Linked DNA regions of Sus scrofa. The main gene of each other region encodes a partner of the protein of the gene in region 2 in a complex. Links are inferred from orthologs where the notes say so. Each region holds a gene or a part of one and is shown on either strand. Other genes may lie near its edges.

Region 1 (4,360 bases), on a different chromosome or scaffold from region 2:
CCATCATCTCAATTCAGTGTCCTGTGCCCTGTTCCTTCACAGGGGGTGCCCTGTCTTACCCTGGGGAATGCTTTATTGTTGAATCAGGGAAAAACCATTAATGTGCTATAATTGGCCAATTCTTTGATTTACTAGAACAAAATTTTCTGTGAGGGTAGGACTGGATTTAACCTGTTCACAGTTGAGACCTCTGAGCAAAACCCCCCGCTAAGGACAGAGTGGAGCACAAATACATTCGTGGTATGGAACAAGTTCTCCGGTTGCATACTGGCATAAATCTTTGCCTGAAAGGGCATTTTTAAAGTATCTCATAATTAGGTCCAAAGTCCAAATAAAACTTGGGCAGGTGGGGAGCTCCTTTTCCTTTTAATGTTTAACCCTCTGGCACCTGGCATATAATTTCGATCTTAAAGTGACAACATACCCTCTTTTTCAAACGACCTAATTCAAGACCAAGTGCAAACAGAAAAGGTGAAGATTCTAAACCTGTGTTAGGAACCGCAAACTTTCACATACAGGACCAAGCCGAGAGATGGGAAAACTGTGTAAACTCCCGCGACACTTTCCTCCCCCCTCAAGTCTTTTCCTACACACATCCCCCACGATTATTCCGAAGGGGCAGGAGGGACGACCTGGGTCCCACAACCCGGACTCAGCCCTGCCCCCACAAAAGCGTCCGAAAACTCGATGTAGGGGGAGAGCCCTAGGAGAAAACGCTGAAAAGTTCTCCGAGACCCCAGAACTCACAGGAGGCGGGTCATAAACCCAGCCCCCCTGCCATCATCCCCGGGGACAGAGTCGCGGTCTCCCAAAGCCTCAAAGGGACCCTACGTAAATGCAAAGTCCTTCCCAACAGCTGACACTTTGGTTCCCAGAAAGGGTGGGAGCTTGCGCCGGGCGAGGCCTGAGGCGGAAACTTGAAGCCCCACCCAGACCCAGCACCTTCGAGGGCAACCCTGGCGTAGGGAGGGGCAGAGCCCCAGGCACCACTTCCACCACTCAGCGCCCGGAAGCCCTTCCCTCCTCGCAGCCCCCCGCACGCTCCTCCCCCCACCCGCTCCCGCATTTCCCTCTGCCCCGCCCCCCGCCGCACCTCCTTCCCTGCGTCGCCCATCCTTGTCCCTCCCGACTTCTCCCCCCTAGGAAGCCCCGAGGGCCCAGCGTGGGGCACGGCTTTGCAGCCCAAGGCCAAGTCCCCGGATGTCCTCCTCCCCTCCCCACCCCCGGCTCGCGCTGTGGCCCCACCCCACGCGCCGCTCTGCGTGCCACGTCACCGCTTACGGCGCTTCCGGAGGCGCAGCGGGCGATGACGTAGGGGGACGTGCCCTCTATATGAGGTTGGGGAGCGGCAGAGTCGGCCTTTTCCGCCCGCTCCCCCCTCCCCCCGAGCGCCGCTCCGGCTGCACCGCGCTCGCTCTGAGCTCCCGGTTCCTGCTAAGCTAGCGCCGCCGTCGTCTCCCTCCAGCCGCCATCATGATCATCTACCGGGACCTCATCAGCCGTGAGTGGGGACTGCACTCTTCCCCACTGCCGCGCGAAGGGGATGGGGGTCTGGTGGGGGGCGGGGAGACGGCCGCCGCCGCCGCCGCCGCCGTCCTGGGCCTGGGGGACGCCGGCGCCCTCCCGGGAGCGAGGAAGGTCGGTGCTTGGCGCGCGCCCTGGGGTTTCGAGCGCCGGGGAAGGGCGGGGGTCGCGTGCGGCGGGCGGGGCGGCGCGGGAAATGGCGCCGGCTCGGGCTTCAGGCGCACGGTTGACTGGCGGGTTTGTGTTCTCGGGCAGATGATGAGATGTTTTCCGACATCTACAAGATCCGGGAGATCGCGGACGGGCTGTGTCTGGAGGTGGAGGGGAAGGTGAGTCGGGCCGGGTCGCGGCGAGGAGGAGGCAAGGCCAGGCAGGCTCGGGTTTCCGCCGCTCCCCCGCCCGAGGTTGTGCAATCCTCTCCGTTGCCTCCTGGCGGAGGAGACGCTCTTTCCGGGCTCGGGTTTTTCTAGAAAAGTGGAGGCGGAGCTGAGTCTGGAAATAGGTCCGCCACTTGGGCGCCCATCCTCCCAGGCGGTCCCGGACAGGTTGTCTCCTGTTTGGGAGCCCGAAGCCCTCAGCGGTTGCCCTTTTCAACCCGACTGTCCACGCAAAACTTCCACTCGTTGTAAACAACCCCCTTCTCGTGCTGGTCAACAAAGAATTGTTAGGGTGTTTTAGGAAATCGAGGGGTCATAAATTTTTTCCCCATGTTTTCAGCAAGAAACAAGAATCTTTAGTGGAAGGCTGATGGGATGTATGAGCTGCTTAAATTGTTTTGATGCCTTTGTGGTAAGGTCGAGGATGTGTTAGCAACTAAACTTTTCCTTAACGCAGATGGTCAGTAGGACAGAGGGTAACATTGATGACTCGCTCATTGGTGGAAATGCCTCCGCTGAAGGGCCCGAGGGCGAAGGTACCGAAAGCACAGTAATCACTGGTGTCGATATTGTCATGAACCATCACCTGCAGGAAACCAGCTTCACAAAGGAAGCCTACAAGAAGTACATCAAAGATTATATGAAGTCGTAAGTGATCTTGGCACATTCCGTTGATGTCTGGAATCCTGTAGGATTTAGGGATCTTCTAACTATGGAGATTTTTTTAGCAAGCAGGCATGGTTGTCAAATACTTTATTAATGAGCTCAGAAGGGTGGTTGCTTTTCTATCAAATATGAGCATAACAGGTGCATACAGGTCTGGCTTTACCTTTTCAGAACAGCACTTTGGAAAGAAGCTGACAGGAAATTCAAAGTTGTGAACAGTCATAAAACATCCCTCCTGTGAGCTAGGAATTTCTTGATTGTGCTCAGTGATAGCTAGTTGCTAGTTTCAGTTTGGAGTTTTTGGAGAAAATTTCTTTTGCTCAGAGCTCTGTAACGAACTTAACCTATCAATAAAATACTTGTTTTAGAATCAAAGGGAAACTCGAAGAACAGAGACCAGAAAGAGTAAAACCTTTTATGACAGGAGCTGCAGAACAAATCAAGCACATCCTTGCTAATTTCAAAAACTATCAGGTAAACAAATGTGTGGATTAAAGGGCTATAGAGTTTAACTTAGAGCAAAAAATGAGTTTGAATGTCTGATGTAATTTAATTGTGGGTATTTTCTTAGCCTTTTGAGCAATTAATACTTGATATATTCAACGCCAGTAGTCTAGCTGGAGAGGGTAGCCTTCCCTACTCCTTCCCCAGATGGCATCTCCCAGTTCTTTCTCTAGAATTGCTCAGTTTGACCCCTAAGTGGTTTTCCACTTTGCTTTCTTTTTACAGTTCCATTGGGTCTCATTGCCACTGGAGCTCTTTCTGATGTGAGCTTGTACTGTTGAGGAACGTAAAGAATTCCCTTACCGCCAAGCGAAAGTTTTGCTGTTTTCACACATCCTGTGTGTGACCCTAACTTTCTTTTCATAGGGTGTGCATGCTCTCATTGCTAGCCTTACTACATTCCCTGTGGTTGACTGTAAACAGGCTTCTTTGTAGGGCTTGGAATTGGCTGTGTGGGGATGAGAAAGCCTAAAGTTTCTAGAGTGCTCTGTACTCTTTATTTTGGCTCTTTTAGTACTTTGGGTGAACAGATTGATTAGTGAGCATTTCTCTTAGGCATCAAATCAGAGCCTCTGGTTGCTGAGAGTCTCGATTAAATAGTGGTGTTCTGAATCATTCTTTGATTTGTTTTGATACAGCACATTTGTATAATCTAATTCTGGATATTTGTTTGCTTCCTAAGTTCTTTATTGGTGAAAACATGAATCCAGACGGCATGGTTGCTCTGCTGGACTACCGTGAGGATGGTGTGACTCCATATATGATTTTCTTTAAGGATGGCTTAGAAATGGAAAAATGTGTAAGTACAAAGAAGTGGGTTGAAATCAGTAATGTAAAAATGGAGAGTGTGGGCATAATCCCTTGTTTCATGCCACTGGGACAGTTAGAATGGGTTCTGCAGCAGTCCTTTGAAAATGAGGGTGCAGGTCTTTTTTCTTGGGGATCTAAAGAATGTTGTGATTCACATGTAAAGGATTTTTATGGTATAGAAAAGCTTAGAATGGATCTGCAGGAAACTTAGCATAGATGACATTATAAATAGCTTAAATACTGAGCCTAGAGATCAGAGATAACGTATATAATCTAAATATTTTAAGTTATTTTAAGGGATAACACCCTATGTTGACATTTCTTATGGAAATGGCCCATAGAAATCAGACTGCTTTTCTCTTCCTATTTTGCCACACATACTGAGCATTAAAACCCTTTTCAAAGAAACTAGTCTCAATTTACAGTAATTGGCAGGTAGTCTTGATGTTACAAACTTTTAGAAAATACAGTTTAGAGCT
Region 2 (4,411 bases):
TGGTCATGCCAACTCTGAAACACAGGGGACTCCATCTGGGGGAGGGAAGCCCAGGACAGGATTGACATCCCAGGGGGAGTAAGACTGAAGGGACTGGTGGGTCACTGATACCGTCTCCTGCAGGTGTTACCCTTAGCGAGGGGAGCCATTACGTCAGGGTCAGGGAAACACCGGACTAACCCGCCACCCGCAAAGGTTTGGGGCCCAATGAACACACAGGCTATGTTTTCCTCTGCAGAGAAATTGGACACAAGTCTGAAAGGGTAGGGTCATGGGGATGACCAGAACGAAGCTGTCTGGTCCTTGCAGAACTAGGTCATCTGTATTTCAGGACAGTTAGCGTCTTGTGCTGCAGTGAGGCCAGTCACATCTCCTTAACAAACAACATCTCCAATAATCACACAGCGCGACAGAAAGAGGTACAGAGGAAAGGCTGTTGGGGATCTGACCTGAGACCAAGGAACAGGGACACCACAAGGGGCGTGGTCCTTACCCAGCCGCCGTTCTCCTGGATCCAAGGCTCTAGGTGGTCATTCAGGTAAGTGGCCATCCAAGTTGCGATCCGACTCACCAATACCTGCATCTCCTTGTCTACGCTCTCCACGCACAGTGCCCCACCGAAGGAGAAAAAGGCCACAATGCGACCCCAGTTCACCCCATCCCGGAAGAGTTCGTTCACTACCTGCTCAAAGCTCTGATACGCTGTCCCTGGGGTGATGTGGAGCTGGGACGTCAGGTCACTGAATGCCCTCCGGTACCTCAGTTCAAACTCATCGCCCGCCTCCCTCAGCGCTTGCTTCACTGCAGCCATGGGGATCACCTCCCGGGCATCCAAGCTGCTGCTGTGGCCAGTGGCTCCATTCACCGCGGGGCTGTCCGCCAGGTGCCAGGATGGGTTGCCATTGATGGCACTAGGGGTTTCCGCTTCTGATTCAGTCCCTTCTGGGGCCTCAGTTCTGTTCTCTTCCACATCAGTAAACTGACTCCAGCTGTATCCTTTCTGGGAAAGCTTGTAGGAGAGAAAGTCAACCACCAGCTCCCGGTTGCTCTGAGACATTTTTATAATAGGGATGGGCTCCACCAGTCCATTGTCCAAAACACCTGCTCACTCACTGAGTCTGGTCTCTGCTTAGTGGTTCTCTTCTGAGATCCAAAGCCAAGATAAGGTTCTGAAGGGAGAGAAAGAGCTTCAGAAAAAAAAAAAAAAAAAAATTAACATGCATGCCATTTACCCTGCAACATCCATTCCCCCTCCAGGTACCAGAATGGGGTCTTTTGTGGCTCTTAGGAAGGTCTGGGTCTGGCTTCCAAGGGACTTCAATAAAGTCAAATTGAAAGCACCAGTGGGCTCTGAATCATCACACCGGCCTTTAAGCCTCAGCCACCCCCTTTTCTCCGAAATGTCTTCCTCGGAAAGTCACCCCCATGGGCAGTCTGTCCCCCACCCCCCACCCCCGCACCACCTACATTCAAATCCGTCTCAGGCGACCGGCAGGCAGGTGCAGCCCCCGGAAGATCTTTTGTATCAGAGGTCGGGAGAGGAGGTGGCAGCCGGGATGCCGGTAACTCAGCCGGCCTCGCGGCGGCTGGCAAAAAAAGCAGCTCCGGCTGGAGGGATCATGCGACCCGGCAGACTGAGAGCCCAGAAGGCGATACAGGAATTACGAAGCTCAGGAACCGGCCCCCTCGCCTGCTTCCTCCTCCATCGCCCAGATCGAGGGCGGCCGCTTCAGCAGCCGCGGCCCGGGAGCCCAGCCCCCTTGCTCTTGCACGCCCCTTGGCTCTCCGCCTCCTACTGGGAGCCAGGAGAACTCTCCCGGAGGTGGCTGGTGTGAGATTTAGTTTTTGTTTTTCTTCTATTTAAGTACCAGCCCAGGGTGAGGTTTACTGAAACCCTAAAGGGACTTCTCAATGGGGCTCAAGGTTTCGATGAGGGACGGAGGGAGGGGGAAACTGCCTCGTATCTGCGGTCTGACTTCGGAAAGGCCATCCCCGGGCCTTTCAGGGAGGCGGAAAGCCGGGGACCCCCCAGAAACGCTGCTGGCTTTCTCTGAATTCCCCAAAGGCCCTGGTCGTGGCGGTGGGGGGCTGCCGGGTCCTCCATTCCCCGCACGGACACAATGGCCGCCGGCGCCCGGCACAAAGACTGGGCGAGGGTGAGGCGCCGGGCCTCTCCTCGGGTCAGGGAGAATGGGCGAGGCCTCCTCGAGGCCCCCCCACAGCTGAAACCACGTTCTCCTGTGGACAGGCCCAGGGTGGCTTCCTCGCGCCCTGGCGAGGGTTTAGAGGCAGGGGTCTGCACCTCTCCCGAGCCCAGGGTGGGTGGGCTGCGGACTCGCGGCTCCCTCCGCGCGCTAGGCCGGGTACCCGCCCGGCCACCGCCCCGTTGCTAGGCAACCGCTCTCCCTCTGGGGCGCCCCCTAGACCTTTCTGGGAGGAGGGGTCTCGCCCCCGGCGGCCCGCCCCAGCGCGGCCAATCAGCGAGCCCAGGTGGCACGGAAGCAGGACGGCGAGGGCTCCCATTGGGCGCAGCGCCTGCCACGCACAGGGGAGGCGGCGCTCTCACCTGCGAGCCCCGCGAGCCATGGGGGGCCACATCCCCCATTCATCGGCCAGGTAGTTTCCAGACGCGACCGCTCTTCGCGGCAGAGTTCTGCGCCGCGGACCTGGGCCGGCCTACCTGGCTGGTGGCTCGCGCTGTCTCTTCCGAACGAGCCGGCCTCAGTTTCCCCTGAAGAGACCGGGGGAACTTGCAACCTCAGTCACTTCCGGTGCCGCGGCAGCGCGCGCGAGCCCGAGACGCAAGGGGAGTGCGCGCCTTTAAGTACTGGCGTCAAGACCTTGGCGAGAGCGCCCCCTTGCGGTAGAGCTGGGGAATCCGGAGACAAAAAAGGATAAACGTTTACATTCACGTTTCCATTCATTCATTCATTTAGCCAGTTTCATCCACTGGTTAGTTTATATGTCGAAAAAGCATCGCGTCGTGGCAAGAATCTTGTGTCTGGGATTCCAACCTTGCTAACTGGGAAAGTTACTCAACCGCTGTGTCTCGATTATCCTTAACCGTACGTAATGTGAGTAAAAACCAATCTCCCTCATTGAGTTACTGTGATTGATTTGAGTTGTTCTTTGTGAAGTCTATGGTACATGCTGCATAATTTCATTTAGCAAATGTTTATTGTTTGGGTTGCTGAAAATGGAGTTAGGAACAAGACACGGCCCATGTTTTCATAGAGGCTTAAACCCTTGAGATGGAGAGAGTAAACAACTAAGAAAACAAACAAGGTAATTTCAGATAGTGACTAGTGCTCTGAACAAAGCAAATCAGGGTATTGTCGTAAAGAGGGTGAAGAAAGAGGTGCTCCTTTAGAGTGGGTGGTCAGGGATGTAAGCCTCGCCCTCCCTGCCCAGTGAGGAAGAGGGACATTTTTTTCTTTTTTTTTTTTTTTAGAGCCGCACCTGCAGCATATGGAAGTTCCCTGGCTAGGGGTCGAATCAGAGCTGCAGCTGCTGGCCTACGCCACAGCCACAGCAATGCTGGATCCTTATCCCCCTGAGTGAGACCAGGGATCCAACTCCCATTCCCACAGATACTAGTCAGGTTCTTAAGCCACTCAGCCACAGTGGGAACTCCAAGAGAGTCATTTTTTTCAAGTGTTCTTTCAATTGTTTGTGTAGGGTGCCAGGGATGGCCTCTTCAAAGGGATAACTTAGAACCGAAGATCTGAAGTGTAAGGAAATGCCACCCGTCGGAAGAGTTTAGAGAACATCAGCCTAGGCAGAGGATATAGCTTGCGCAAAGTGTCCTGAGGCAGGAAGATCTTGGGATGTTTTAGAAGCTGAAGGAGAAGCAGTGTGACCAAAGGAGGGCAAATGTGTTATGAGAGGTCATTGGTTGGAAAGTTGACCATGGAAGTGAATTAATCAATTAATTTTGTGGTAATTTAATTGATTAAAAATAGGATATTGGAGGAGTTCCCACTGTGGCTCAGCGGGTTAAGCGTCCATGAGGATTTGGGTTCAGTCAATGGGTGAAGGATCCGGCATTGCCAGAGCTGCAGTGTAGGTCGCAGATGTAGCTCAGATCTGGCATTACTGCGGCTGTAACATAGGCTGGCAGCTGCAGTGCTGATTCGACCTTGAGCCTGGGAACTTCCATATGCTGCAGCTGAGTCCCTAAAAAGAAAAAATAATAATAAAAATAAAAAAGATATGAAAAATATACCACAGAGCAGAGAATCAAAAAGTCTTCTTCCCACCCCTTCTTTCCAATCCCCAGTTCCCCTAACAGAGGTCACCATTCTTAAGCCCTTTCCTCTGTAGTCTTTCAGAGATGGTCACTGTATTCACAAGCAAATTTATAGGACTCAATATTGTATGCAAACAGTAGCTTGCTATAAACACTGCTACA

Evidence for each region.
Region 1: the proteins of BCL2L1 (region 2) and TPT1 are in contact, whole or in part, in a crystal structure (PDB 4Z9V), measured with the Homo sapiens proteins. The link is inferred for Sus scrofa from reciprocal best matches to the Homo sapiens genes BCL2L1 and TPT1. Residues at the interface, in NP_001304848.1 of Homo sapiens: Ala93, Glu96, Phe97, Arg100, Tyr101, Ala104, Phe105, Leu108, Gln111, Ser122, Gln125, Val126, Glu129, Leu130, Asp133, Asn136, Gly138, Arg139, Val141, Ala142, Phe146, Leu194, Tyr195, Ala199, Ala200, Ser203; in NP_003286.1 of Homo sapiens: Phe14, Asp16, Ile17, Lys19, Ile20, Arg21, Ile23, Ala24, Asp25, Gly26, Leu27, Cys28, Leu29.

What each region holds. Positions count from the first base shown.
Region 1 is NC_010453.5:21,927,913-21,932,272, forward strand, and holds the start of TPT1 (translationally-controlled tumor protein), read left to right. Parts: upstream 1-1,381; 5' UTR 1,382-1,473; coding exon 1,474-1,501; intron 1,502-1,779; coding exon 1,780-1,853; intron 1,854-2,358; coding exon 2,359-2,549; intron 2,550-2,935; coding exon 2,936-3,041; intron 3,042-3,753; coding exon 3,754-3,870; intron 3,871-4,360. UniProt on the Homo sapiens protein: Involved in calcium binding and microtubule stabilization. Acts as a negative regulator of TSC22D1-mediated apoptosis, via interaction with and destabilization of TSC22D1 protein.
Region 2 is NC_010459.5:35,412,984-35,417,394, forward strand, and holds the start of BCL2L1 (bcl-2-like protein 1), read right to left. Parts: upstream 2,814-4,411; 5' UTR 2,681-2,813; exon of another isoform or gene 2,567-2,680; intron 2,449-2,566; exon of another isoform or gene 1,468-2,448; intron 1,390-1,467; exon of another isoform or gene 1,262-1,389; intron 1,188-1,261; 5' UTR 1,058-1,187; coding exon 494-1,057; intron 1-493. UniProt on the Homo sapiens protein: Potent inhibitor of cell death. Inhibits activation of caspases. Appears to regulate cell death by blocking the voltage-dependent anion channel (VDAC) by binding to it and preventing the release of the caspase activator, CYC1, from the mitochondrial membrane.